Callithrix jacchus: one gene and its partners. The protein of the gene in region 2 interacts with the protein of the main gene of each other region in a pairwise test. Links are inferred from orthologs where the notes say so. Each region holds a gene or a part of one and is shown on either strand. Other genes may lie near its edges. The genes, in order: KLHL2, SDCBP, CUTC, PTS, RNH1, COX4I1 and LDOC1.

Region 1 (3,500 bases), on a different chromosome or scaffold from region 2:
TTCATAAAATGTGCGACGTTTTCAAAATTGCTGGGATGGCTGCAGCAATGGCTTCTTGAGTTTTCCTTTTCCTTTTTACAATGATCCCTACCCTGGATTCATTTATTTTGAAATGGTGGGCAAGTGTAGCAGTAGACCTCAATCCATGGTATATCTCAAGCAATTCAGCTTTTTCTTATAATGTCATGACTCTTCTCTGCTTCGTTGAAGCACTTCCCAGCATCATCAGTGGCACTCTGTATGGGTCCCGTGGTGTTATTCAAGGTTTATGATATTGCAATAAACATGATTAAAAATAAGGCAGAACCATGAGAGATCACTTTCTACAGATACACATCGCTAAAGAGACAAATTGCTCTTTCAAAGATGATTACTGCCCCACAGCTTTTTAAGTGGCTACTCACAACAGCTAAGCTCACTAATACAGCAACAGAAAATGGCTGTACAATTATTATAGTAGTACAGTAACATACAACAGCTAATTTCATGCAGTTATGATTTAATATTGTATCTCTGTGGTTTGTTCACAATTCTCTGGACTGTGAATGACACCATACATGGTCTGTATGTGTTTGTTCCTGTAAGAGTTTGTGTGCATACATTTTGATAAGTTTTAGCTTTTTGTAATAGATTTGTGGATATTTTGTAGTAGTAAATGATAAAACAGACTAATATCTACATATATTTTATGTGTTCATATCTTTTACTTAATTTTTTCAATATTTCTAGGTTATGCAGTTCATCTGAGTTTTATAAAAATTTTCCAACATAATTACTGAAAAACATTTGCATATAAGTGGACATACACAGTTCAAACCTGTGTTGTCCAAGGGTCAACTGTATGCTATGTATTCTGCCAGTTTATACCTCAATTAAGTTGTTTTAAAATTCATCTAATATTCAGCCATGTTACTGGGATTCTACTGTACATAGTTCTTCTACTAAGTGCTGTTTTGAATGATACATAAGCAACAGTGATAGTTAAATTATACATTCTTTTCCTTCACTATTGGATCAATTTTGTTATAGAAATATTATAAAATTAAAAGCAAGATAAATATCACTGAAATAAATAATATATAACACAGTTTAAAGATGCACCATAAGAATATATTGGACCAAAAAATAACATTTTATAATTCAACCAGTATTATGCTTAAGAAAGAAAAATTATTCCACAGCCTCACTATAATACTATCTGATGAAGCCTCACCGTGGGGAGATGTAGGAACCCTATCCTATTTCTTGGACATCTCAGGAATTAAAGCCTTGTCACATAGTGAATTCCTCTCCTTGGCATACTGACTTTAGCGACATTAAATTTTATTATATGATTTTGCATATCAAAGATTTGGGATTTTGAATACAAATGACTACAGAATGACCAAAGTGTACTGGTGCTTTATTTCAGAATATACACAGCCAATGCTAATCATCTTAAGAATAAGATATAAACTATACCTTGAGAAAAAGCATTATTCTTATAATAGAAAAACTTTATTAATATCAAAATTATAATGATGTCATATTTTTCTATTGTAATGGACTTTAGAGACAATCGTTACCTGCATAACTTCTCCCTGTGCTCATACACGATGACACAACTGTCCATTTATCGGTTGTTGGGTTATAATACTCTACTGAAGCCAAGTTACAGGAACCATCATCCCCTCCAACAACATATAACAGACCATTAACTGCACAAACTCCTTTAAAAAATTATACAGAGAGAAAATGATTATTTAAAAAATTTGGATGAATATGAGTATCACTGTACATGTTTAGTGAGATAATCCAGAGACACTAATTTCTTTGAAAGGAGGCAAGAAGAGAAAATAGTGAACATGTAAAGAATCCTTTTTATATTATGATAGCCAGGCACCGTAGTTCACGCCTATAATCCTGGTACTGTTGGAGGATGAGGTGGGCAGATCACTTGAGGTCAGGAGTTCCAGACCAGCCTTGCCAACCTGGTGAAACCCCATCTCTACTAAAAAAAACAAAAATTAGCTGGGCACGGTGGAACGTGACTGTAGTTCCAGCTACTCCAGAGTCTGAGGCAGAGTCATTTGAACCCAGGAGGCAGAGGCTGCAGTGAGCCAAGATCGCACCACTGCTCTCCAGTCTGGGTAACAGAGTGAGACTCCATCTCAAAAATAAGAAAGAAAGAATTCCTTTTATACTAGGAAACTCTAATACCACTTCTAAGTTTCTACTGAGTGTCATTTATGCAGCAGTTGCATTATATATGCATTATTCTATTCAATTTTCACAACATTATAGGTTAGAAACTATTTGACCCTCATTTTATTTAAAAACAAAAAAAAAAATGTCAAAGAAGTTTAGTAACACTCCCAAAGTCAACTACTTAGGGAATATCAAGGAAGAAAACATATGTTAGTAAAAGGTAAAAATATTCTTAATTTTAATTATTATACTGAATGGTTAGCTATTTTCTCTCTCTTTAAAAGGGAAAAATAATATTATTTATCTATTAGATTAACTCTTTTCTTTGCAAAAATTCAAAACATCTAGAAAGGTATAAAGAAAAAAAGGTGACCTCTAATCTTATGTCACTTAGAATAATGACCATTAAAATTTTGATCTCTACTCTGGCTAACTTTTCTCGATGCATATATACTCAGATACTGCCTTTTTTAACCCCAAAGTAGCTCACCCGACACATGCTACTTTATTACTTACCCTCCCTGGCCAACCAACATACCCTGGACATTTCCTCAAGTTAATAAATATAAATGTAATTTTTATGTATGATAATACCAGTTTATTTAATCATTTTTTACTAATATTTAAGTAATTTTGATTTTTTTTGCTGTTACCAATGATGTTGCAATGAACAAAGATCCCCTGAATAGTGTGTTAAATAGTTGAGCAATTTCTCTTAATATAAATGATTAGAAAGAAAACTACTAAGTCAAATGGTAAATGCTTTTAAAAAGCTCTTTATTTCAATTTTTTAAAGTATATTTAGTATCTTATAAAAAGTTCAGTGCTACTATAAACTTGTACTAGAGGGCATCAAAGAATCCAGAAAAATGCTGCCCAAATCTACAAAACTTTGTAGGAAAAAAACTCATACCATTTTAAAGTTGTTCAAATACTTAAAAGCAAGAGCCAAATGCTACTGCCACACAAGCTCTCACAGTAGTTATATGTATTTGCAACACTCTATTCCAGCCTATTGATGGATAACACAGGACTGTGGGAGACAAAATGATCTCAAAAATGGCCCTGCTATGATAGAAGGCATGAATAAGAAGGCTATATTGTCCTAAAGAGCTTTCTCAATCATATCTACAAGGGGCTCACAGATTAAAGAGCATCCTACTGCAGAAAGAGAGGTTGGTCCATACATCCATTTCAATATATTAGCTATACATTCAAAAGACATCAATTTTATTAATCCACTAACTCACAACACTAGATTACTTTTAGGCAATCAGAGCCAAATCACTTTGCCAAAAGAATGCACTTTCCTG
Region 2 (4,067 bases):
AAAAAATCCAAAATTGGAAACATTTCTGGTCCCAAGCATTTTGGCTTAGGATCAGCTTGTTTTAAACTTGTTCATGAAAATTTACTGTAATTGCTTTTCATTCTATTTTTTAGGGGAGGGGTGTCAATTTTCCTGGATTTTCTATGTTAGATAACCATCTCATCTGAAAACAAAAAGTTTTATTTTCTCATTCCCAATCTACCTTGTGATTATTTTTAAACGTCCATTTTCATCAGCCTAACTACATATAACCTTACTGAGAGCAAAGTTTTCTTTTTTTATTTTTAATTTTTTATTGCATTTTAGGTTTTGGGGTACATGTGAAAGTTTTCATCTTTAGTTGTCACCTCTTTTACCCTCAGATTTTTTTTATTAGTTTTGCCAGATATGATTGTGGCACTAATTTAGCTATAAACTGCTTGTAAATGCTATTTTGTCAAGCACTCTACAGTATTCCACGGTAACTATGATTATTCTTGGGTAAACTGTGCCTCAGTCTGTCTGTAATGCGATGTTGTATTTATTTTATAGACTGATGTGAAGACCAAATAAGACTATACACTAAGTTCGTAGAGCTATGGCTGGCACATCATCAGCCCTCAAGAAATCATCGTTATGTTTTTGTATTAGGAAACAGTAATTACTTTTGCGCAGCACCACACAGAACTCTCAACAGCGAAGGAATATCAGCTCAGGCGGACAAAGATTAGTAACTTCCCCTTCGACCCCCCACATTTCAAACAGAAAAATAAGGCAGGAGTTGAGAAGGGGTAGTGAGTGAGAGGAACATTTGTGAGCCTATGGTGGAGAGGTACAGCAAGAGGAGAGTGAGGTTAGGACAGCAGTGGTGGAAGTCGAAGGCATCCCAAGAGGGAGCATGGGCTCCCGAGACCTGTTTGAATTGTAGGCGACCAGAACCAAGCGACCGTGAGCTGCTATACACACGGTAGTGAGTGGGTGGAAAGGGGCCAGCGGGCACGAACTGCCAGAAGAGCGGAGAAGACGCGGAGCATAACCGCGGGGCAGCGGCCAGTTGGCACAGCGGGCCACCTGCACGGCCCTACATTGCCAGATACCGGTAGCTGCAGGAACTACCCACGCCCAGGTCCCTTTACTCCCGCCGCCCGGTTACCTAGGGAACCGGATCACCTGACCCGGGGCCGTGCGCCTGCGCGGGCGGAAGGCGGGGGCGGTGCCGTGACGCGCCTCGGGGGCGGTCCTCCGGCTCTCGCCGCTCTGCTACCCTTGGGCCTCAGAAGTCCGTGCCAGTGACCGGAGGAGGCGGCGGCCGTGAGTGAGTCCTTGTGGGCTAGGTGAGAGGCCGAAAGGGGGCAAGAGGGACGCCGGTGCCGGGTCCCGGGCGCGGGGACGTGGGGCAGAGGCGTGATGGTCCCCGGGCCTTTTAACCGAGAGCGTCCTGGTCGCAGCCGTTTTCGGGAGGCGGCGGCGACGCCCTCTCCTCAGGGGCTCCGCGCCCCTCCCTGCGCCGTGCTGGCTGCGGGGCAAATTTGCGGGAGCAGCGCGCTCTGCTCCCCGGGACCCCGCGGGTTTCGAGCTCCTCTCCGGGCTGGGGCTGGGGCTGGGGTGGGTAGAGCCCCGAGGCACGGCCGGGTGAACGCCGGCAACCGCGGCCCCAGCTCTGGGATTCTTCCTGGGACCGTCTCTCGATCCTCGTTGTTCTCGCTCGCTAAGATCTCGAGACAAGTAAAGAAAGAGCCTCTGGCCGCGGTTTCTCCCCGCGTTTCTTGGGCTGCGCTTCCTTTTGGGTTATTTGGAACGTCCTGTCTCCCCGCGTTTCTTGGGCTGTGCTTCCTTTTGGGTTATTAGGAACGTCCTGGATTTGAAAGCAGGAAGGAGGTGTTTAGTGGGCGAAACCTTGACTTGTTTGGAAGCGGGTGGGGAGAGGTTGTTCGCCCTGAGCTTTTTCCTGGTGCTGTTGGACCTGAAGGAGAAACGTTTCCCGCAGAGTATGTTTAGAAGGAAATACTCCTGAGATCTGATGACTCACAGCTTTCCTTTCAGGATTTCCTTGTAATGATGGGAAAGGGAAGGCATATGGATGCGGAAAGTTTTTACTTTGATCAAAGTGGGATTATTGAGTCATGGAGGCTTCGAATGTGCACATTTTTGAAAGGAGTTTCTAGGATCATCTATTCTATATAACCGCATACACATTTACGGTTATTTTTTCCATTACGTACTTTCCTTAGAAAGTACACTCGGTTTACCGAGCTCTAACATCCGCTTGTTTAGTCTCTCCATTATAAACGAAATTGAACTTCAGAGACATTTTTAGTTTTGGGCATTATAGGAAAAGATGTAAAAGTCATAAAAGGGGAAGAATTTGCTAATGGTTGCCAGTTAAATGTACTGTTTAATTAAACAGTTTCTTAAAATGTGCGTGGCACAACTATTTTCCCTGTTGCCAGATTTGGGTCCTTTTTATAGGTATTAAATGCCAAGAGATTATAAAAAAGGAAAGCTCCCCAAACAACTTTAAAATACTTTCTACACTTAGTAATAGTTACGTTCACATTGATTAATTTTCTTTCAAGTGCTGCCAACATCTTTTGTAAATATTGTCTTCGAGTAGGTAAACGGTCACGTGTCTCAAAATTTAAGCAGCATACAAAGGTATATAGTATGAAGTCTCCTTCCTTTTGGCAGGCAGCCAACTGTTTTAAATTTCTTGGGTATTCATCCGGGAATATCCTATCTACACAGGCAAACATACAAACTGCATCTGTCTCCTTTCTTTTAACATAAACGTTAACATTTTATATACTGCTCCACATTTTGCTCTTATTTTTCCAGTTATTGATAATATTTTGGAACTTTCTAATATCAGCATATATAGCTTTCAGGTCTTTGGCTGTTACAGTCAGTGCTGCAGTGAATGAACTTTTACATATGTTGCTTCCTTTGTGCACATGTGTTTGTACAGTTCAGGTCTTGAAATGATACTGCAGAGTTGAAGGGTATTTGAATTTAGAATTTTAGTAAGCTACTGCAAACTCATTCTCCATGGGAATTGTACTAGTTTACGCTCCCACTAGTAGTGTATGAGTGTTTCTCAAAGCCTTGCTGTCGGAGAGTATTGTCAAACTTTGGATTTTTGCCAGTTCAGTAGCTGAGAAATGGAATCCTAGGGGTAAGAATTAATTATTCTACTTAGAGTGGACTTTATATGGACATACTTCTTAATGCCTGATCTTCAGAAACTCCCAGGATATTTATTAAAAAGCAGAGTACCTAAGTCCTTCCATGAAATTTGTATCTGTTCAGGAAGCTGAGGTTTTTTGTTTTTTGTTTTTTGTTTTTTTTGAGAGGAGTCTTGCTCCGTTGCCAGGTTGGAGTGCAGTGGCGCAATCTCGGCTCACTGTAACCTCCGTCTCCTGGGTTCAAGCGATTCTTCCGCCTCAGCCTCCCGAGTAGCTGGGACCACAGATGCATGCCACCACGCCCGGCTAATTTTTTTGTATTTTTAGTAGAGACAGGGTTTCACGATGGCCAGGATGGGCTCGATCTCTTGACCTTGTGATCCGCCTGCCTCAGCCTTCGAAGTGCTGGGATTACAGGCGTGAGCCACCGCTCCCGGCCCAGGAAGCTGTTTTTATAATAACTAGAGCCTCTGGTAATTTGGCTCTGATGAATAGCCATATTGAGAACATTGCTCTGGAAGGCTGCTTAGGATATATAAAATTGTGTTTCTAGACTCCATGTATGAGCTATCTGGAATGCTTACCATCTGGGGGACATGTTATTTTTTCATTTTTTTACTTTTTATTTTTTTTGAGATGGAATTTTGCTGTGTTGCTCAGGCTGGTCTCAAACTCCTGGGTTAAAGCAATCCTCCTACCTCGGCCTCCCAAAGTGCTAGGATTACAGGCATGAGCCATGGTTCCTGGCCTGATACTTTATTTTTATTTTTTACATTTTTCATTCATTTTATGAATAGTTCGCATAAGTGAAAATAAAGAGATAATGCAACACAACTTTACTAGAAATTTTAATAACTGCTTCAACAAAAGAAACACAAATTAGTATTCCAGATTTTCCTGGTTTTG
Region 3 (3,500 bases), on a different chromosome or scaffold from region 2:
GGTTTGCTATTGAGCCAAGGAAGCTAGACATAAATACTACATATGATTTTATTTAAATTAAATAAAATTCAAAAACTGGCAAGTCTAATCTATGATAGTATTAATCAGGAAAGTGGTTATTTTGGGGGACTAGGGAGGCACAGTTTTGCAAGATGGAAGAGGCAGGACTTCAGAGGTGCTAGTAATGTTTTCTTTCTTGACCTTCATGGGAAAGAATAATTAAAAGGTATGTTTGCTTCCTGATAATCCAAAAAAAAAAAAAAAAGCAGCAATAATAGAAACTAACATTATTAAGACCTACTATATACCAACCACTGTGCTAAGCCTCTTACATATCTCATCTCTAGCAATCTTCTGAGAAACTCTACAAAAGAAGTATTAAACTTATCTCAGTTTCACACAGGGGAAACAGAGGCATAAAGATTAACCTACTCAACTCAACATCACATAGCAAGTGTCAAACCTGAGTCTCAAACACATGACTCTCTTATCTCAAAGCCTATATTCACTAATTTATAATGCCTCTGGACTGATGTCAGAAAAACACAGACATACTATAATTATAAAGTCACCCTCTGAGTGTTCTACAAATGATGCCAGCTTACCAGGAGAACTCATAAAAGAGAAACATATATTTCCTTTTTTATTGACAGATAGGAAGAAATAAGACTATAATTTTAGTTTTGGAATTTATCTCCAGATGATAATTTCATATTGGATCCCCTGAATATACACGGGCTGTATAATGAAAAGATGTGGCTTAAAACTACAATGCTGGCTGGGTGCAGTGGCTCATACCTGTAATCTCAGCACTTTGGGAGGCCAAGATTGGCAGAAGGCTTGAGCCCAAGAGTTCAAGACCAGCCTGGGCAACATAGCAAGACTTTGTATCTAAACTAAGAAATGTAACTGTAATGCCAATGGGAGAGGAAAGGTAAAATCTGCTCTGCTTATCCAAGTTAGATCAGATCTCTAGGCACTATTGATGTGTAATTTGATATTAAAAGCCTTGATTATTAAAAAGGCTCATGTGAAAGAAGTAAGAATGATACACATTATTGCCTACTTGTTCTTTCCTACAGAGTAACCACAAAGTCAGTAATATATAGTATTACAAACTGGCTAAACAGAATGTCAGGAGTAACCACAACAGAGTCTTAGGGGAAAAAAAAGAAATTCCATGTACCTGCTCTATGAGTCGCTTTATTAGGGGTAGCCCTTCTAATGCTGAACTGTCACATCCACTGGTCAACACTCGTTCAAATCCCAAGGTTAAGAGGGTCTCCAGAGCTGCCATTGGATCATGAACCATGTCAAAGGCTGAAATAAATAAAATTGATGTGAATTCCGAACAGATATCCTTTAATGCACTGCTTCCCAAAATGTAGCTTACATGCAGTGGCAGGCTGGACCTAGCTTGTGTGGCTTACAAAGGCCAATTATTAAACACTCAATAATTCTGTAAGTCAGATTGTTAACCTACTGGCAGCCTGAAATTAATGAAGGTAGGGCCAGGTGTCGTGGCTCATGCCTATAATCCTGGCACTTTGGGAGGTGGGCAGATCACTTGAGCCCAGGAGTTTGAGACCAGCCTGGGCAACATGGCAAGATCCCATATCTACAATACAAAAATCAGCCAGGCATGGTGGTGTGCACCTATAGTCCCAGCTACTTGAGAGGCTGAGATGGGAGGATCACTGCCTAGGGACTTGAGGTTGCAGTGAGCTGAGATTGCACCGTTGCACCCAAGCCTGGACGACACAGCAAGACCCTGTCTCAAAAGAAAAATAGAAATTAATTTTAAAAAATTAGTGAAGGTAGAGTATTTAAACCACAGAAATTTTAAAATGCTACAAATCAGGGCTCTTTTTTCTAAGAGCAAGTTTATCAGCACACCACAGTCTGCATACCACCACTGTGCACGATGATTTTAATAATGGTACACATTTAAAGAGGTATATTTATTTAAATGCAGATAAGAAAGGAAACGTTTTCAATTTACAGTAGTTATGAAAGTTTCTATTGAAAATAACTTAAGTTTTTTTTCACATCTTTTTAAGCTCGGGGATACAAGTGCAGGTTTGTTATACAGGTAAACCCATGTCTTGGGAGTTTGTTGTACAGATTATTTCATCACCCAGGTATTAAGCCTAGTACCCATTAGTTATTTTTCCTGATCCTCTCTGTCTACCTACCCTCTACCCTCTAAAAGGCCCTAGTGTGTGTTGTCCCCCTCTATGTGTCCATGTGTTCTCACCTTTTAGCTCCCACTTATAAGTCAGAACATGTGGTATCTGGTTTTCTGTTCTTGTGTTCATTTACTAAGAATAATGGTCTCCAGCTCCATCTATGCCTCTGCAAAGGACATAATCTTGTTCTTTTTTATGGGTGCATACTTAAGATTTTATTTAAAGAAAATCATTAAATAAATGTGCACAGGTAGCACTCATATATGGTAAAATTTTAAATGTGATAAGCAGGTGAGTCCAATTTAAGAAACTGCTCTAAGGCTTCAGAAAAACTGGACTAGGTAGAATGAAACACTGTACTCAGCAGTTCTAGAAAAAGCCTTGGCTCACATTCTCATTACTGACTAATAGTTTGGACTAATCTATTAACCCCACATACTCAAGGTTCACAGCATAAGGATAGCTGTTTTCAACAACTATATGAAGTTTCAATTCCATCCTACTTTCTAAGAGACTTCTACCCTCCTCAGAGCCCTCAAAGAGTAAAGTGGTACCAGGAAACCGAAAACAGAAAACCTCCTTCTGCTTTGGTTCTCACATCGCTACATGATATAGAAGTTCTAACCTGTGGTGGATTAGGTGGTAGTGGTCCTCTGAGATAGACCCCTTCATTTCACCCTTTAGTGTATGTAGGCAACTAAATCTACCACAGAGGATCTACCTGTTTCGGTGGCAGTCTCACCACTATAACAATATTATTATGCTACATCATTAAATACATGAGTGAAAAAAATGTGGAACCCAAAAATTCTACAAATTTTGAAAATAGGAAAATATTTTTGCTAAACCTATTGGAATAAAGAAAAGAATAGAAATTTGAAGTAAAAATTTTTTTTTTACTGTAGACTTCTTTTCATGTGCAATGGCAGTACTCTCTGAAGGCAAAATAGACATTTGTTCTTCTGTTTAACCAAGATGTAGCCAAAGGACATAGAAATTATAACTACCTGATTTTTTGGCTGGGTGCGGTGGCTCACACCTGTAATCCTAGCACTTTGGGAGGCCAAAGTAGGTGGATCATGAGGTCAGGAGTCCAAGACCAGCCTGGCTAAGATGGTGAAACTCTGTCTCTACTAAAAATACAAAAATTAGCCAGGGGTAGAAGCTGAGGCAGAGAACTGCTTGAACCCAGGAGGTGGAGATTGCAGTAAACCAAGATTGTGCCACTGCATTACAGCCTGGGCAACAGAGCAAGATTGCATCTCAAAAAAAAAAAAAAGAAAAGAAAAGAAATTAAAACTAACTGATTTT
Region 4 (4,045 bases), on a different chromosome or scaffold from region 2:
TCGGCTCACCGCAACTTCCGCCTCCTGGGTTCAGGCAATTCTCCTGCCTCAGCCTCCCGAGTAGCTGGGATTACAGGCACACGCCACCACGCCCAGCTAATTTTTTGTATTTTTAGTAGAAATGGGGTTTCACCATGTTGACCAGGATGGTCTCGATCTCTTGACCTCGTGATCCACCCGCCTCGGTCTCCCAGAGTGCTGGGATTACAGGCATGAGCCACCGCACCCGGCCTCCTTATGGTTTATTGCTTGATTGTGTTCATTTTGGACCCTTGTTACCTTCATTGTAAAATATTAATTTAAGTATTTACACTTGGTAACTTACCTTAACTTACTGAGTGTAACTTAACTTACCATAGCTTACAGGGTGTGACTGCAACTTACTTACCTTGACCTACTGGGCGTAACCTACTTACTGAACTTAACTTACTTACTGGGCGTAACTTGTTTACTGTAACTTAAGTACATTGATCTGGCGTAAACAACTTTTGACTTCAGAAAAGTATATAATGGAACATATTGCAAAAATAAAATTGCTGCTTGGACATAGCCTAAGCAAGCCCTCCAGACTCCGCTTTTCTATTTTCTTTCACTTCCGCGCACTCTCTCCCTCAGGTTGAACGAGACATCTACATTGGCGGTCTCGGGGACTCCTGCAGGTCTGTAGTCCCCCGGCAGACGTGCCGGACCCCAACATATAATGACCACAAAGGACTGTTGCCACGTGGTCCTATTCATGATCTCAAGTCCTGCTCTTTCAAAAAAATTTTTTTAAAAGAAACGAGCGTCTTTCTCTATTGCCCAAGTTGGACTCCTGGGTTGAAGGGATCCCTCCCCTTCCCAACAGCTGGGGCTACAGGAGTGCGCCACCTCGCCCGCCTGGCTCAATTCCCGCTCCTTTTGGTTTATAAAGCGGACTGTGGCCCTGGGGCTCATCCGATAGTCACCAGCCACTGGAGCTTTACAGGAGAGAGTGGGCGGGGAGGCTCAGAGAGGTGGCTCAGGATCCAGTGTGTGCAGACGGGCCCTAACCACGTGGCGTGACCGCAGGCGGAGCAGACAAACAGATCAAAGACACCGAGTCCCCACCCACCGTGACCGCTCCAGGGTAGGCTTAGCTCTCGGAACTCGGTCTCGGAAGAGATTTAAACAGCTAGGGACGCGCGTAACTGTCTCCCGAGGCTGGGATTGGCCCGAGCCAAAGCGGAGCCGCGCTCCCCAGGGGGGCGCCGGCCTGCACTGCGCAGCCGTGGAGGGAGGCGCAGGCCGCGCCGCGGGAGAAGGTGCAGGCCGAGCGGCGTAGAGGGCGCCGGGAAGATGAGCGCGGTGGGTGGCGGCCGTCGTCCCAAGGCGCAGGTGTCCCGCGGCATCTCCTTCAGCGCGAGCCACCGGCTGCACAGGTCGGGTGTGCACGGAGGTGCAGCGGCGGGCGGAGGGCGCCGGGCCTCGGAACGTCACCGGGGCGGGGCCGGGGGCGCGTGACGTCGGACCCGGGGTCGCGGGCGCAGGGGCTTCCGGGCGAAGCAGCTGATGGAGGGCGGCGCTCGCTGGGTGCCTTCGCGGGGCTTTGGGCGGCAGGTCGCATCCCGATGGCGGCTGGGGTGTCCCCAACCCTGGAGGGATCGGGGAGCGTGGTGGTTAACGGAGCCGGCTGCGGAGGGCGATGGACCATTTCTGGCCGCGGGGCCCGCACCAGGCTCTGCGACTCGGAGTTCCTTGGTGTAGACCACAGGGTTGCCGTGAAGCTTACCGGTGTTAAACTCGCCTGTGTCAGTACCCGGAGCTGCGTAGGCACCCAGTAAATGTTAGCTAATTTTGTAAGCCAGGAGCGCTGGCGGCCGTATCTAATGTCATCACAAGGCAAGCTTTAGCCCCTTTTTGCCAAAGATAGAAGGAACCCAGTCCCTGGTGGGAGTGGCTAGGAGAAAAAAAAAATGAACCCAGATGTTCGGTTTCCGAAGCAAGCAGCATAGTTGAACCCCGAGCTTCCATGCCGCTTGCATGCACTGCAGAGTTGGTTTTGAGGAGTTTTACCACTCTGCAGCAAGCGCCCCTCTCTGGCCCTCCATATCGTCGTCTGCAAAATGAGTATAACCATTCCTATCTAACAGGATTCATCCCTCCATTCGCTGAACGAGGGTTTGTTTCGTGCTTGTCAGTGCTTGTGCTAGGTAACGGATGCAGCGGGGATCTTGTTATGGGGTTTACAGCCTGGTCAATTTTGTGGAGGGTACAGTGAGAATTTTGTGCAAAAGACTTAGCCCTCTTTTAAATACAAGAAGTGGCTGGGCAGGAGACAGTGGGGGTGTGTTAATCCATTTTTGCATTGCCATAAAGGAGTACTGAGACTGGGTAATTTATAAAGAAAAGAGGTTTCTTTGGTTCTGCAGGCTGTACAAGAAGCATGGCACCAGCATCTGCTTCTGTTTAGGCCTCTGGGAGCTTCCACTCATGGTGGAAGGAGAAGGGGGTGCAGGCAACTTACAGGGCAAGTGAGGGAGCAAGAGCGAGGAAAGGAGGTGCCAGACTCTTTCTAACAACCAGCTCGCCCATTAACTAATAGAGCGAGAACTCACTCATTACTTCAGGGAGGGCACCAAGCTGTTCATAAGGGATCCACCCCCATGAGCCAAGCACCTCTCACTAGGCCCCACCTCCAGTGTTGGGGATCACATTTCTACATGAGATTTGGAGGGCACAGACATCCAAACTACGTTGGGGGGGAATAATAAAGAGGATCTCAAAAAGAAAGGGGTGGTAACATAAGAAGCTCAAACACCTGAGGGTGGTAGGGCCTCATTGACGATGCAAAATTGATTGGACAGGTGTAGGTATAAACATTCATTAAGTAATTTGTTTTCTGTCTGAGGCAACAATGTTTAGAATTACAGTTGTAATTTTAAAAACTCACCTGCTTTGAATATTCTTCAAGATATTGGTAAAGTTCTCATGAGGCAATCGTTGAGACATAGTAAATCAAGAATGTTCAATCGGAGACTCACCAGGTCTTGTAATTACTTTTTAAATTATTTTTTTCTGAATGAGTAGTTTAGTTTCTGAGAGAAATGAAATAGCCACTTTGTGAATCAGCATCTCTGTTGATCATTATATGCTGTTAGGTCATTCAGCACTTGCCTAGTACATTGTAGGCACTCAGTCAGTAATGTTAAATTGAAAAGTGGAAGGCCCATCAGCAGATCAGTTGCTGTGGGGTTGAAGTTAAGGTTTGTTTGTGCTAATTTGTATGGTACAGTCTTTTTTTTTTTTTTTTGAGACAGAGTCTCGCTCTGTTGCCCAGGCTGGAGTACAGTGGTGCAATCTTGGCTCACTGCAACCTCTGCCTCCCTGGTTCAAGTGATTCTCCTGTCTCAACTCCCAAGTAGGTGGGACTACAGGCAGATGCCACCCTGCCCGGATAATTTTTTATATTTATAGTGGAGATGGGATTTCACAGTGTTAGCCAGGATGGTCTCAATCTCCTGACCTTATGATCTGCTCGCCTCGGCCTCCCAAAGTGCTGGGATTACAGGTGTGAGCTACCGTGCCTGGCTGGTACAGCCTTCTAATTAGGAACTGTGCACTGGTTTCTGACATTTGCATGAGAAATGAAATCAACATATTTCTGACTCCCCATTTGGTGAGCTAAAGTAATAACAAATTGGGAAACTTTTCAAAGATCAGAGCAAATAATATACATAGGGAACAGAGAAGGGGGTTTGAATGTGATGCTTGTGTCATGCTGACTTTTTGTTTTGTTTTGGTTAGTAAGTTTCTAAGTGAGGAAGAAAACTTGAAGCTGTTTGGGAAATGCAGCAATCCAAATGGCCATGGGCACAATTATAAAGGTGAGAGAAAAACTGATGACATTTCAGTCCTTCAGTAAGGATGAAAGAGTATTCAGCAAACACAGTGTGATGCTTTGAGCCTCGAATGAGAATTACATGAGAGTTCAGAATGAAAGGGTCTGTTGTTTTGGGTGGGTGGGTGTTAAATTTTAACTTGCAGTTGTCAACTCTTACAAACAGTTCAAAACTGAATGGTTTAA
Region 5 (3,953 bases), on a different chromosome or scaffold from region 2:
CGTGTCCACAGGGTGAAGTACTGCGGCTTGACAGCTGCCTGCTGCTCCCACTTCAGTTCAGTGTTGGCCCAGAATAAATTTCTTCTGGAGCTGCAGATAAGTGAAAACAGGCTGGGAGATGCAGGTGTGCAGGAGCTGTGCCAGGGCTTGGGCCAGCCTGGCTCTGTGATGCGGTCACTCTGGTGAGTGTGTGAGGGACATGAATATGCATATTTGGGAGGTCGTGTGTGTGTGTGTGTGTGTGTGTGTGTGTGTGAGAGCACGAGCATCCATGTGAGAACACGTTTGTAAGAACCTGGGTGTTCATGTGCTGGGGAAGGCAGCATGGCGGCACCATTCTGGCTTCTTGCAACTTTGATCAGAGTCAGAGACAGAGGTCTTGGTTCATGAAGCCTAATAGCTTTTGGGGCTCCAGCGTGCCCTGGCCACCCTGTGGTCCATTTTCCTGGAAGTCCCGCCCACCTTCCTGCCATGCAGGAACCCAGGGTCAGGATGTCTTCCCAGGTTTCCTCCCTTTGTTAAAGCACGTTGTCTTGCAGCTTCCTAAGAACAGGTTCTGCAGAAGGTAATTATTGGAGGCCTGCATCTGCTCTGCCCTTGGGTCATTCAGCTGGGTATAGAATTCTGGGTTACAAATTCAGCTGGGTATAGAATTCTGGGCTACAGATGTTCCTGTAGAATTGGTAGGTGATGCTACATCATTTTCTGGCTTCCAGAGAGGACTTTGCTGTTCTGATTTTTTTTTTTTTTTTTTTGAGATGGAGTCTTGTCACCCAGGCTGGAGTGTAGTGGCGTGATCTCTGCTCATAGCAACCTCTGCTTCCCGGGCTCAAGCCTCCCGAGTAGCTGGGATGACAGGGGTGCATCACCATGCCTGAATAATGGGGCTTTCACCATGTTGCTCAGGCTGGTCTCAAATTTCTGACCTCAGGTGATCCACCTGCCTTGGCCTCCCAAAGTGCTAGGATGCCAGGTGTGAGCCATCATGATCTTGTGTGCACGATGTGCTTTTTCTCATTGGCAGCTTTTAAAGATGTCTTTGCCCATTGTGTTTGGGGTTCCATGTGCTTTGCCTTGATGTGTGTCTTGGTTCTTTTATTGTGCTGGATACTTGGCTGTCCTAAGTATCACGCCTTTGGTGATTTTTCCTCTCATTTTTTTTTTGAGAGTTTCACTCTTGTTGCTCAGGCTGGAGTGCAGTGGTGCGATCTCACTGCAACCTCCGCCTGGGTTTAAGCAACTTTCCTTCCTCAGCCTCCCAGCTGATTTTCGTATTTTTAGTAGAAATGGGGTTTCACCATATTGCTCAGGCTGGTCTCGAACTCCCGACCTCAGGTGATCCACCCGCCTCGGCCCCCAAAGTGCAGGGATTACAGGTGTGAGCCACCATGCCCCGGTGTGCCCGTGAGGTCTCCTGGACTGGCCCGCTAATTGTGTTCTCCAAATGTTCTGTCTCTTCGAGGTTTTGTTCTTATTTCTGGGAGATGTTCTTGTTCCTCAACCAGTCTACTGAATTTCCACCATCAGTGTTTTGTCTTTTGTGTGCTGCTTCACCTGTGCCTCTCGCCAGGGGCTTTCCATGGGTGGCCGGGCACCAAGTGCAGAGTGAGGCCCGGGAGCCCTGGGCAGCGGGCTGGGCAGGCGAGTCGTGGCTGTGTTTCCTGGGGCGGGGGGGGGGGGGCTCTCAGGACGCCATCCTGGCTGCCAGGACCCTGTGGGCCTTCCAGGTGGGGCATGGAACCCTGGGTCCTGGTCACTGCAGGCCTGTCTGCCTGAGCCACTGCCAGGGTGGGGGTCCTGCAGCTTCCCTGGCTCCCACTTTGTAGAGGCCCAGCACAGCTCCTTGGCCTGGCTCCGGCCGGATGCGGCTGCACCCTGGGGAGTGAGTGCTGGGTTTTCTCCACTGTCTTTTGTCTGGCCTGTACCCTAGTCTCTCTCGGGAGCCTGAAGTCTGTTGTCCACTGTGCCTTCCTCAGAACCCTCCACACCCTCGTTTCCCCACAGCTGCCCCTCGGTCTCCGTGGCTGGCTTCTCCTCTTAGCCCCACTTGGCCAGGCAGTGTTGAGGAGGTGGGGAGCGGGGGGTGGACGTGGCTCTGTGGGTGGACATTGTCTTCCTCTGGTCCTTTCTGCCCCTCGTGGGAGGAGAGAGTTGCTCAGGGAGTCAGTCTGCTGTGCCCTGCCAAGGGGCTGCGTGCTGGCCTTGTCTGTGGTGGGCACCTGCCCAGGGCCACAGAGGGTTACCGCCACCTGCTGGCAGCTTCCAGTGGGTTCTATGGGAAGATGCTTTTCGAGCAGCACAGTAGCAAGAGCTGATAGAGTTCACAGTCACCAAGGTGGAGTGCCGGTCTGAGGGCGGCCTTCCCCAAGAACTGGAGCAAGGTCCTACAACGCCTTTACCAGGAGCAGTGGCTCTCGCCCCAAGCCTGCCACACAGCGGGTATCTTTGCGATACTGAACGCTGCCGCCTGGGCCATGGGTTCTTGTCCTGGCATAACTGTTTTCCCTTAAATCATGCTCTGCGCCATATCTGCTCTAGGCATTCCTCCGATTATGAGCTGCTTATTCCTTAATTCATGCTCTGTACTGTGTCCACTCCAGGCATTCCTCTGACCATGAACTAAGATATAATTATATATATATATATATATATATATATATGTAGGGAAATATTCTTTAGGCACTCCTCATACTATCAACTATTATATGATTACATATAGGGGATTATATCAAGGGATTCTTCAAGCCCTAATTCTATAAACTAATATATGATTATGTAAAGGATTATATAAAAGGAAATAGCTGAGTAGTGACACTGTACAGTGAGATATTCCTCAAGCCCTAACTGTGCCAGGGTTCTGCTTAGCTCTCATTCCTCGGGGCCTATATGGGGGGTTACCCACACACCTGACCCCCACCCTGCTCTACCCAGGCTGGGGGAGTGCGATGTGACTGACGTTGGCTGCCTCAGCCTCGCCAAGACCCTGTTGGCCAACGACAGCCTGCGCGAGCTGGACCTTAGCAACAACTGCATGGGGGACGAAGGCATCCAGATGCTGCTGGAGAGCCTGCGGCAGCCGTCCTGCCACCTGGAGCAGCTGGTGTACGTGCCTGTGCGGGGCGGGGGGCGGGGGTCCGGGGGGCGGGCTGGGTGAGGACACCTGCCTACTCCTCCCTTCTGGCCTGTGTGCAGCCTGTACGACATCTACTGGTCTTTGGAGATGGACCGCCAGCTGCAGGCCCTGGAGAAGGAGAAGTCATCCCTGAGGATCATCTCCTAAGCCGCTTCCTGCCCGCCAGGCTCCTGAGACCCGCTCTCCCTGGACAGCCTGGCCTCGAGGCACCCCTGGGCTCTCACCCTGCGTTTCCTAGATTTGAAGAGAAATGCTCAGATCAGCTTATTTCTGCTAGTGTATTTTGGATACTTTACAATCATTAAAACACTTTCTTGGCAGGAGGGGCTCTTTCTTCCTGGGGTCTCTGCGAGGGTGCTGGTGTCAGGCTCCTGTTCTTCCTGGGGTCTCTGAGGGCGCTGCTATTGGGCTCCTGTCCTTCCTGGGATGTCTGAGGATACTGGTATTGGGTGCACCACGCCACTTGGTATGAGCTTCTCTCTTGACATGTCGCCCAGGCTGGTGCTTGGTCTTGGCCTCCTGAAGTGTGGGCATTACAGGTGTCAGCCATTGGCCTGGCCCAATAAAGCCCTTTTCAGTGACCTGAGGCTGGGCGTGGTGGCTCACGCCTGTGATCCCAGCACTTTGGGAAGTAGGCTGGGGTGGGCAGTTCACTTGAGGTCGGGAGCTTGAGACCAGCTGGGCCAACATGGTGAAACCCCATCTTTACTAAAAATACAAACATTAGCCAGATGTGCTGGCAGGTGCCTGAATCGCTTGAACCTGGGAGGTGGAGGTTACCTCGAGCTGAGATTGCACCACTGCACTCCAGCCAGCTCAA
Region 6 (2,291 bases), on a different chromosome or scaffold from region 2:
TTGCAGGCTCTTAGACAAGTCTTGCCTATTAAATTTTAACTTATGTGAATCATTCATGAATAATACATGAATCTGTTCTCAGCAGAAGATATTACAGCCGTCTGGAATACCATCAGCCATCACTGAAGTCCGCTGGGATATTTGCATGGCGACACATTTGAGCGAGGGGCGCCCAGATGTACCAGACCTCCCCAGGGGAGGCTCAGCAGAAACCCATCCATGTGGAAGCAGTGACAGACATTCATTAGAATCTGGAGTCTTGTTTTTCTCTATTTTTAAAAAAATGTTTGGTAAAGTAACCATTGCCTTCCCTTCATTCCTTGGGGGACCAGGCCTGAAGCTCTGAAGAACCCCTGAAACCAGGAATTGGCTATTCTTATTCTGGAAGATGCAATTTTAAGGTTTGCCTGCTTCAAGGTTTTGAGGGTTTACATCATTACAACATTTCTCCCCTCAGTCTTCCTGTCATGTCATTTACGACAGCTTTACGAGATGCAATTCATGTAACAGTCGCCCATTTTTAAAGTGTAGGCTTCAGTGGTTTTCAGTATATTCATTGAGTTTTGTCATTAGTACCACAATGAATGTTTGATTCTAGAACATTTTCATCACCCATATTTACATCTATTTTGAATAACTCGTGTAACTGAGTGTTTTAAATTTTAGAAACTTTTGGAGGGTGCTAAACTTGATAAAAATATTCGGTATACAACTGCTCTTTTTAGTTCACACATCACCTCATCGAATCAGGGCTTTAAAATTAGAAAGTAATCCGGCCATTTCCACCTCATGTCCCTTAAATCCCACCTCATTTTTGGGACGAGGTCAGGTATAAGTTTGAAAGTATCCTAGTCATTTTCATGGCTAAGATAAACATCTAGAGAACTCTATGTGTGACTTTGCTTGAAGCTTAACGTGATTTACTAAGAAGAAGATTTGGGAGATGGGAATCACTGGGACTGAGCTAATGGAGGGGAAGCATTGTCGCAGGGCATAAGGCCTCCAGATCAGTATCTAACAGTTCTTGCAGGTAGGTGTGGGACAGAATTGAGAAACAGCTTTTAACAGGGGAAGACTCACTACAAGCAAGATACTCCTTAGCTGTCTGATTTCTGGACTTCTTTCCTCGTGATACCGGCTGGTTGGAAGGCACTAAAATCACAGGCAGATAGAGCAGAAATCCTCGCGAGGTTCTCCCAGCCTCCCGTGTGTGGCGGCTTGAAGCTTGCTTTGTCAGAGTGTGAGTGGATTATGTGTATGTGAGTATGTGTGCATGACTTCCATAAGGAGGCACACAGCATTGTCCTTGTTCTGTGGCTGAGTGCACTCTGCCGTCGCATTCGGGCTCTAGGTCTGCCCGGTCCTGTGGACCTTGCCTCTTGGTTCCTGCCATCCACACATTGCCAGTGCCCTCCTGCTCTCTTCTTTCTCCAGAGTACTTTTGTCTAAACATGTGATTTGCACATTATGTTTATTGTTTGTTTGCCACTCTTAGAATGTTAAGTGCCACTGGGCAGGAATGTTTGATTTGATTTGTTCACAGATGAACCCAGATACCTAGAGCCCTGCCTTGCCTGTAGAGGGTGCTTGGTAAACACTCTCTGAACGAGTGGCTCCATGGTCCTCGTTTCACAGAGCTGGCACGATTTCTTCCTCAGTCCTGGTTGGACACAGGTTTTTCCTGAACAGTGCCTTTGTTTCTGAACGGGAAGCGCTTTGGGTGTTGCACTGTTCCTGTTCTTCCTTGTGGTTTGAGTCCCTTGCAGCTGGGCCTCATTTTGACCAGTCTCCTGTTCAGGGCAGGGGATAACTGTTAACATAGGAAGAGCTGCCCCCGGCCACCTTGGCCCCAGGGTTCAGTAGCAGTTGCCCCCGGTGGGTTTTTGTTTGCAGTGATGAAAAGTGCTTCTGTTCACCCTCCAGCACAGTCCTGCACCTGTTTCAAACAGTGGCTGTGACCCCCTGAGATGACTGAGGGTTTCAAGGTGTGCACACGTGTGTTTGTTTTGGTTTTCAGAAGTATCACCTTGTTTGTGACTCTCAATTTACATGGATTCAAAGATTTATCCAATGTGTTTTTCAGGAAGTGTTGTGAAGAGCGAAGACTATGCACTCCCAAGTTACATGGATCGGCGTGACTATCCCTTGCCCGATGTGGCCCATGTCAGGCACCTGTCGGCCAGCCAGAAGGCCTTGAAGGAGAAGGAGAAGGCCTCCTGGAGCAGCCTCTCTGTGGATGAGAAAGTCGAGTGTGGGTATTGAAGGGACCCACAGGCGAGCCCAGCAGCTCC
Region 7 (3,325 bases), on a different chromosome or scaffold from region 2:
TATTTGACATGTTGGCCAGTAGCACAGTAAATGTTATGTAGATAAATGAAGCAGAGTCAAGGGTTAGAGATTGGTGGCAGAGAACAGGGTTCTCTGATAGGTCCGGTGGCCAGAAAAGTTCTCTTTGAAAGCAGTAGGTGAAGGAGTCAGGCAGCCAACTGGGACAAGTCTTGCAAGGCAGAAGGGGTAGAAGGTGCAAAGGCTACAAAGCCAGAACTACTTGACGTGTGTGAGAATCAGCAAGGACAGTGATTAGAGCATAGCAGAAAATGGGAAGAGGCATAGGATAGAAGGAAGGGCTTTGTAGACCTTGGCTGCAACTTTGCTCTTTATTCTGAGATGAAACTTGGATGATTTTGAGCAAGGGAGTGAAGGGATCTAATTTTTGTTTTAAATGATTCCCGTGGCTACTTTATGGAGAATATACTATAGGTAGAAAAAAGCGAAAGCTAAGTGATTAGTTGCAGCAGTGTGTGAGAAAGAAAGGCTGGGTGGGGATCAGGGTGGCAGTGGTAGAAATGGCAAGACATGATTGAATTGGCAATATATTTGAAAGCAGAGCCAATAATTCATGATAGCTCTAGGATCAGAGATCCATTTAAAGTAGAAAAAGAAAATTATTTATAAACACTCACATCTTCACAGTTCATTTTTAAGTAGAGAATAATACCCAGTGGCCAATGGCACTAGTAGCAGAACAAGAAATAGAGAATAAAATGTGTGGGATGCCTGCAATTGGTTATCGGATGCTGATTTTGCAGAACTTTTTATATCTTGCTATTTAGGTTTTTTTTTTTTTTAAGGTAGGTATATCATATTATTTCCCAATTAAATAAGTCACTGTTTAAATACTGCCTTTTTCATGAAAGGCAGGACCCCCTGAGGGTCTTCATGACCCTGAAAGGAAGTGTGACTTCCACAGTGCAGCCAGCAGTGTCAATACTTCGCTAAGTGAGATTTAAACAAGAAAGAAAATGTGTTAATAAAACATCGCGCCAAGAGAATTTAGTGGCCACAGACCCACGAAGGAACACTGAGTTGTGCGAGTTGGCTAGGTAGAAGAGTGGTTAATCTTTTCAGCTTGAACAAGTGTACCTTCTCTGAGACCGGATTCAGCGCTCGCCAGGTCCTCTGCTAATTCAGGCCCCACATCCAGGAGCTCTGACAGCCGACCGCAGCCTTTAACTGCCCGCCTAGAGGGCTACGACAAGCCGGTGGTTCAGCAACCCAGCGCATCCTAGTCCTAGCCAAGCCCTGTGTGTCTACACTCTTCCCATCCCGGCCACGCCCCCACGCTTCCGCGGCCCCTCGCCTGGCCACGCCCCTCCCGCGCCGCGCCGGCGCACCGTCCGTCCGAAAGGCCGCGTGGGCGGGGCTTGCGTAGCCTCCCGGACTCCGGCGCGCACCGCACCGCCCCCCCGCCCCCCGCCCCTGGCCCTCGCGCGCCTTGGTGGACAAGCACTTCCTGCGAGGCCTCCGTACGCACCTTGTCCGAGCCGAGCCGCACCGAGCCGCACCGAGCCGAGCCCTGTACTTCCAAGCCGTTCGCCATGGTGGATGAGCTGGTGCTGCTGCTGCATGCGCTCCTGATGCGGCACCGCGCCCTGAGCATCGAGAACAGCCAGCTCATGGAACAGCTGCGGCTGCTGGTGTGCGAGAGGGCCAGCCTGCTGCGCCAGGTACGTCCGCCAAGCTGCCCGGTGCCCTTCCCCGAAACGTTTAATGGCGAGAGTTCCCGGCTCCCCGAGTTTATCGTGCAGACGGCGTCTTACATGCTCGTGAACGAGAACCGATTCTGCAACGACGCCATGAAGGTGGCATTCCTAATCAGCCTCCTCACCGGGGAAGCCGAGGAGTGGGTGGTGCCCTACATCGAGATGGATAGCCCCATCCTAGGTGATTACCGGGCCTTCCTCGATGAGATGAAACAGTGCTTTGGCTGGGATGACGATGAAGACGACGACGACGACGAAGAGGATGATTACTAGGCCTTAGACCCTCAGGCCTAGCGGGGAGGGCCCTGCACGCCGCCACCCCCTCTCTCCAGCCCTCACCCCGCCGGGAGCCACTGTTCTCCGCCTTGCCCTCTGGTCCCCTTCCCTACTCGCGCCCTTCAGTTCTCTCTCTTCGTTTCTCCGTAGTGCTTGTCTTTGTTCCAGGAATAGTGCTCCATTTACCTGCTGCTGGGGTTGGGGCTGAAGCCTCACTCACTCGGAAATGCTTGGAAGTGTCATCTACCCTGGCCAGCCCCTGAATCCCTCCCCTGCTAATCCGAACTGTGTCCTGAGCCCCAGTTATTGGCCATGCCCCCATTATAAATTGGTCATACCACCCATAGCCCTGCTGCTGCCACCTACCCTACTGCCAGGCTTACATCTGCCCAGAGAACTATGCTGCCACTTCACATCCACTCACCACATCCCACCTACATACTACCGCCTTTCGAAGTAAGGACCAACCTGGAAGATGCCAGAGTTGGCTATACCTCTTCGGACATTGATTCGGACAGCTCACCAACCCATGAAGGGGCCAATCATTCAGCCTGGTTAGTTTTCTACCCACTCTGAGGGTCCTCCCATGCCCCACCAGATTGCTGCAGGGGCTTGGTGTGCCTGGCAGCCAAATTGTTGACATTTCTTTTTTCCTATGCATTGGTTTTACACAGCTGTCACTTTACTTTCAAAATTGCAGCAGTCCCCCAGATGTGTGCATTTGGACAAATAATACTAAGAACAAAGCAAGCACTCAGCCCAGCTCCTCAATACTACCTGGAAAAAGCATTGGCATTATTTTCAATAAATATCAAGCACTACAAAAAAAAGAAATGATTGTCTTTTAATGGTTAAGTGCTGTCACTGGCCTCCAACACTGTCACTCTGTCTACCATTATTCCCATGGAAATCAGGGTTCCCCGCTGTCATCTCCAGGCTGTTGGCGACAGCTACCTCAGGGCTCTGTCAGTGTTCTGATGTTCCCTTCACCAATGTATTTCATAAAGCCCTGGCAAAGGGTATGTCCTCTGGTTCCTCCAGAATGGCATGGGTAAGGCTTGGCTGAGCAGATGGCAAAGAGGCAGTATTAATAATTAGACCATAACAACAGTCATAAACCTGGAAGAGGGGGGAGAGAGAGAGAGAGAGATGTAATGCTCCCAATTATCTGAGCTTTCAGATTCCTTAACACTGTACCAGGGAAGTTCTGCCCCTTAATCCTTATTGCCTATGTGTAGCTGCTGAGTTCAGGCTCCAAATAGCCAACATAGTATATTGCTTTTATGTCACTCTCAGATGCTCCAGCTAACATTAAATCCTGGATCCTGGGCACG

Evidence for each region.
Region 1: the proteins of SDCBP (region 2) and KLHL2 interact in binary tests that used the Homo sapiens proteins (3 or more experiments, as listed by UniProt). The link is inferred for Callithrix jacchus from reciprocal best matches to the Homo sapiens genes SDCBP and KLHL2.
Region 3: the proteins of SDCBP (region 2) and CUTC interact in binary tests that used the Homo sapiens proteins (3 or more experiments, as listed by UniProt). The two-hybrid records come from large-scale screens. The link is inferred for Callithrix jacchus from reciprocal best matches to the Homo sapiens genes SDCBP and CUTC.
Region 4: the proteins of SDCBP (region 2) and PTS interact in binary tests that used the Homo sapiens proteins (3 or more experiments, as listed by UniProt). The two-hybrid records come from large-scale screens. The link is inferred for Callithrix jacchus from reciprocal best matches to the Homo sapiens genes SDCBP and PTS.
Region 5: the proteins of SDCBP (region 2) and RNH1 interact in binary tests that used the Homo sapiens proteins (3 or more experiments, as listed by UniProt). The link is inferred for Callithrix jacchus from reciprocal best matches to the Homo sapiens genes SDCBP and RNH1.
Region 6: the proteins of SDCBP (region 2) and COX4I1 interact in binary tests that used the Homo sapiens proteins (3 or more experiments, as listed by UniProt). The two-hybrid records come from large-scale screens. The link is inferred for Callithrix jacchus from reciprocal best matches to the Homo sapiens genes SDCBP and COX4I1.
Region 7: the proteins of SDCBP (region 2) and LDOC1 interact in binary tests that used the Homo sapiens proteins (3 or more experiments, as listed by UniProt). The two-hybrid records come from large-scale screens. The link is inferred for Callithrix jacchus from reciprocal best matches to the Homo sapiens genes SDCBP and LDOC1.

What each region holds. Positions count from the first base shown.
Region 1 is NC_133504.1:29,785,234-29,788,733, forward strand, and holds part of KLHL2 (kelch-like protein 2), read right to left. Parts: intron 1,710-3,500; coding exon 1,566-1,709; intron 1-1,565. UniProt on the Homo sapiens protein: Substrate-specific adapter of a BCR (BTB-CUL3-RBX1) E3 ubiquitin ligase complex that mediates the ubiquitination of target proteins, such as NPTXR, WNK1, WNK3 and WNK4, leading most often to their proteasomal degradation.
Region 2 is NC_133517.1:14,796,779-14,800,845, forward strand, and holds the start of SDCBP (syntenin-1), read left to right. Parts: upstream 1-1,267; 5' UTR 1,268-1,294; exon of another isoform or gene 1,295-1,313; intron 1,314-4,067. UniProt on the Homo sapiens protein: Multifunctional adapter protein involved in diverse array of functions including trafficking of transmembrane proteins, neuro and immunomodulation, exosome biogenesis, and tumorigenesis.
Region 3 is NC_133513.1:92,693,469-92,696,968, reverse strand, and holds part of CUTC (copper homeostasis protein cutC homolog), read right to left. Parts: intron 1,321-3,500; coding exon 1,187-1,320; intron 1-1,186. UniProt on the Homo sapiens protein: May play a role in copper homeostasis. Can bind one Cu(1+) per subunit.
Region 4 is NC_133511.1:11,916,334-11,920,378, forward strand, and holds the start of PTS (6-pyruvoyl tetrahydrobiopterin synthase), read left to right. Parts: upstream 1-1,245; 5' UTR 1,246-1,317; coding exon 1,318-1,400; intron 1,401-3,765; coding exon 3,766-3,845; intron 3,846-4,045. UniProt on the Homo sapiens protein: Involved in the biosynthesis of tetrahydrobiopterin, an essential cofactor of aromatic amino acid hydroxylases. Catalyzes the transformation of 7,8-dihydroneopterin triphosphate into 6-pyruvoyl tetrahydropterin.
Region 5 is NC_133511.1:131,400,104-131,404,056, forward strand, and holds the end of RNH1 (ribonuclease inhibitor), read left to right. Parts: intron 1-11; coding exon 12-182; intron 183-2,931; coding exon 2,932-3,102; intron 3,103-3,192; coding exon 3,193-3,280; 3' UTR 3,281-3,453; downstream 3,454-3,953. UniProt on the Homo sapiens protein: Ribonuclease inhibitor which inhibits RNASE1, RNASE2 and angiogenin (ANG). May play a role in redox homeostasis. Required to inhibit the cytotoxic tRNA ribonuclease activity of ANG in the cytoplasm in absence of stress.
Region 6 is NC_133521.1:43,481,769-43,484,059, forward strand, and holds part of COX4I1 (cytochrome c oxidase subunit 4 isoform 1, mitochondrial), read left to right. Parts: intron 1-2,083; coding exon 2,084-2,251; intron 2,252-2,291. UniProt on the Homo sapiens protein: Component of the cytochrome c oxidase, the last enzyme in the mitochondrial electron transport chain which drives oxidative phosphorylation.
Region 7 is NC_133524.1:138,057,695-138,061,019, forward strand, and holds LDOC1 (protein LDOC1), read left to right. Parts: upstream 1-1,420; 5' UTR 1,421-1,550; coding exon 1,551-1,988; 3' UTR 1,989-2,825; downstream 2,826-3,325. UniProt on the Homo sapiens protein: May have an important role in the development and/or progression of some cancers.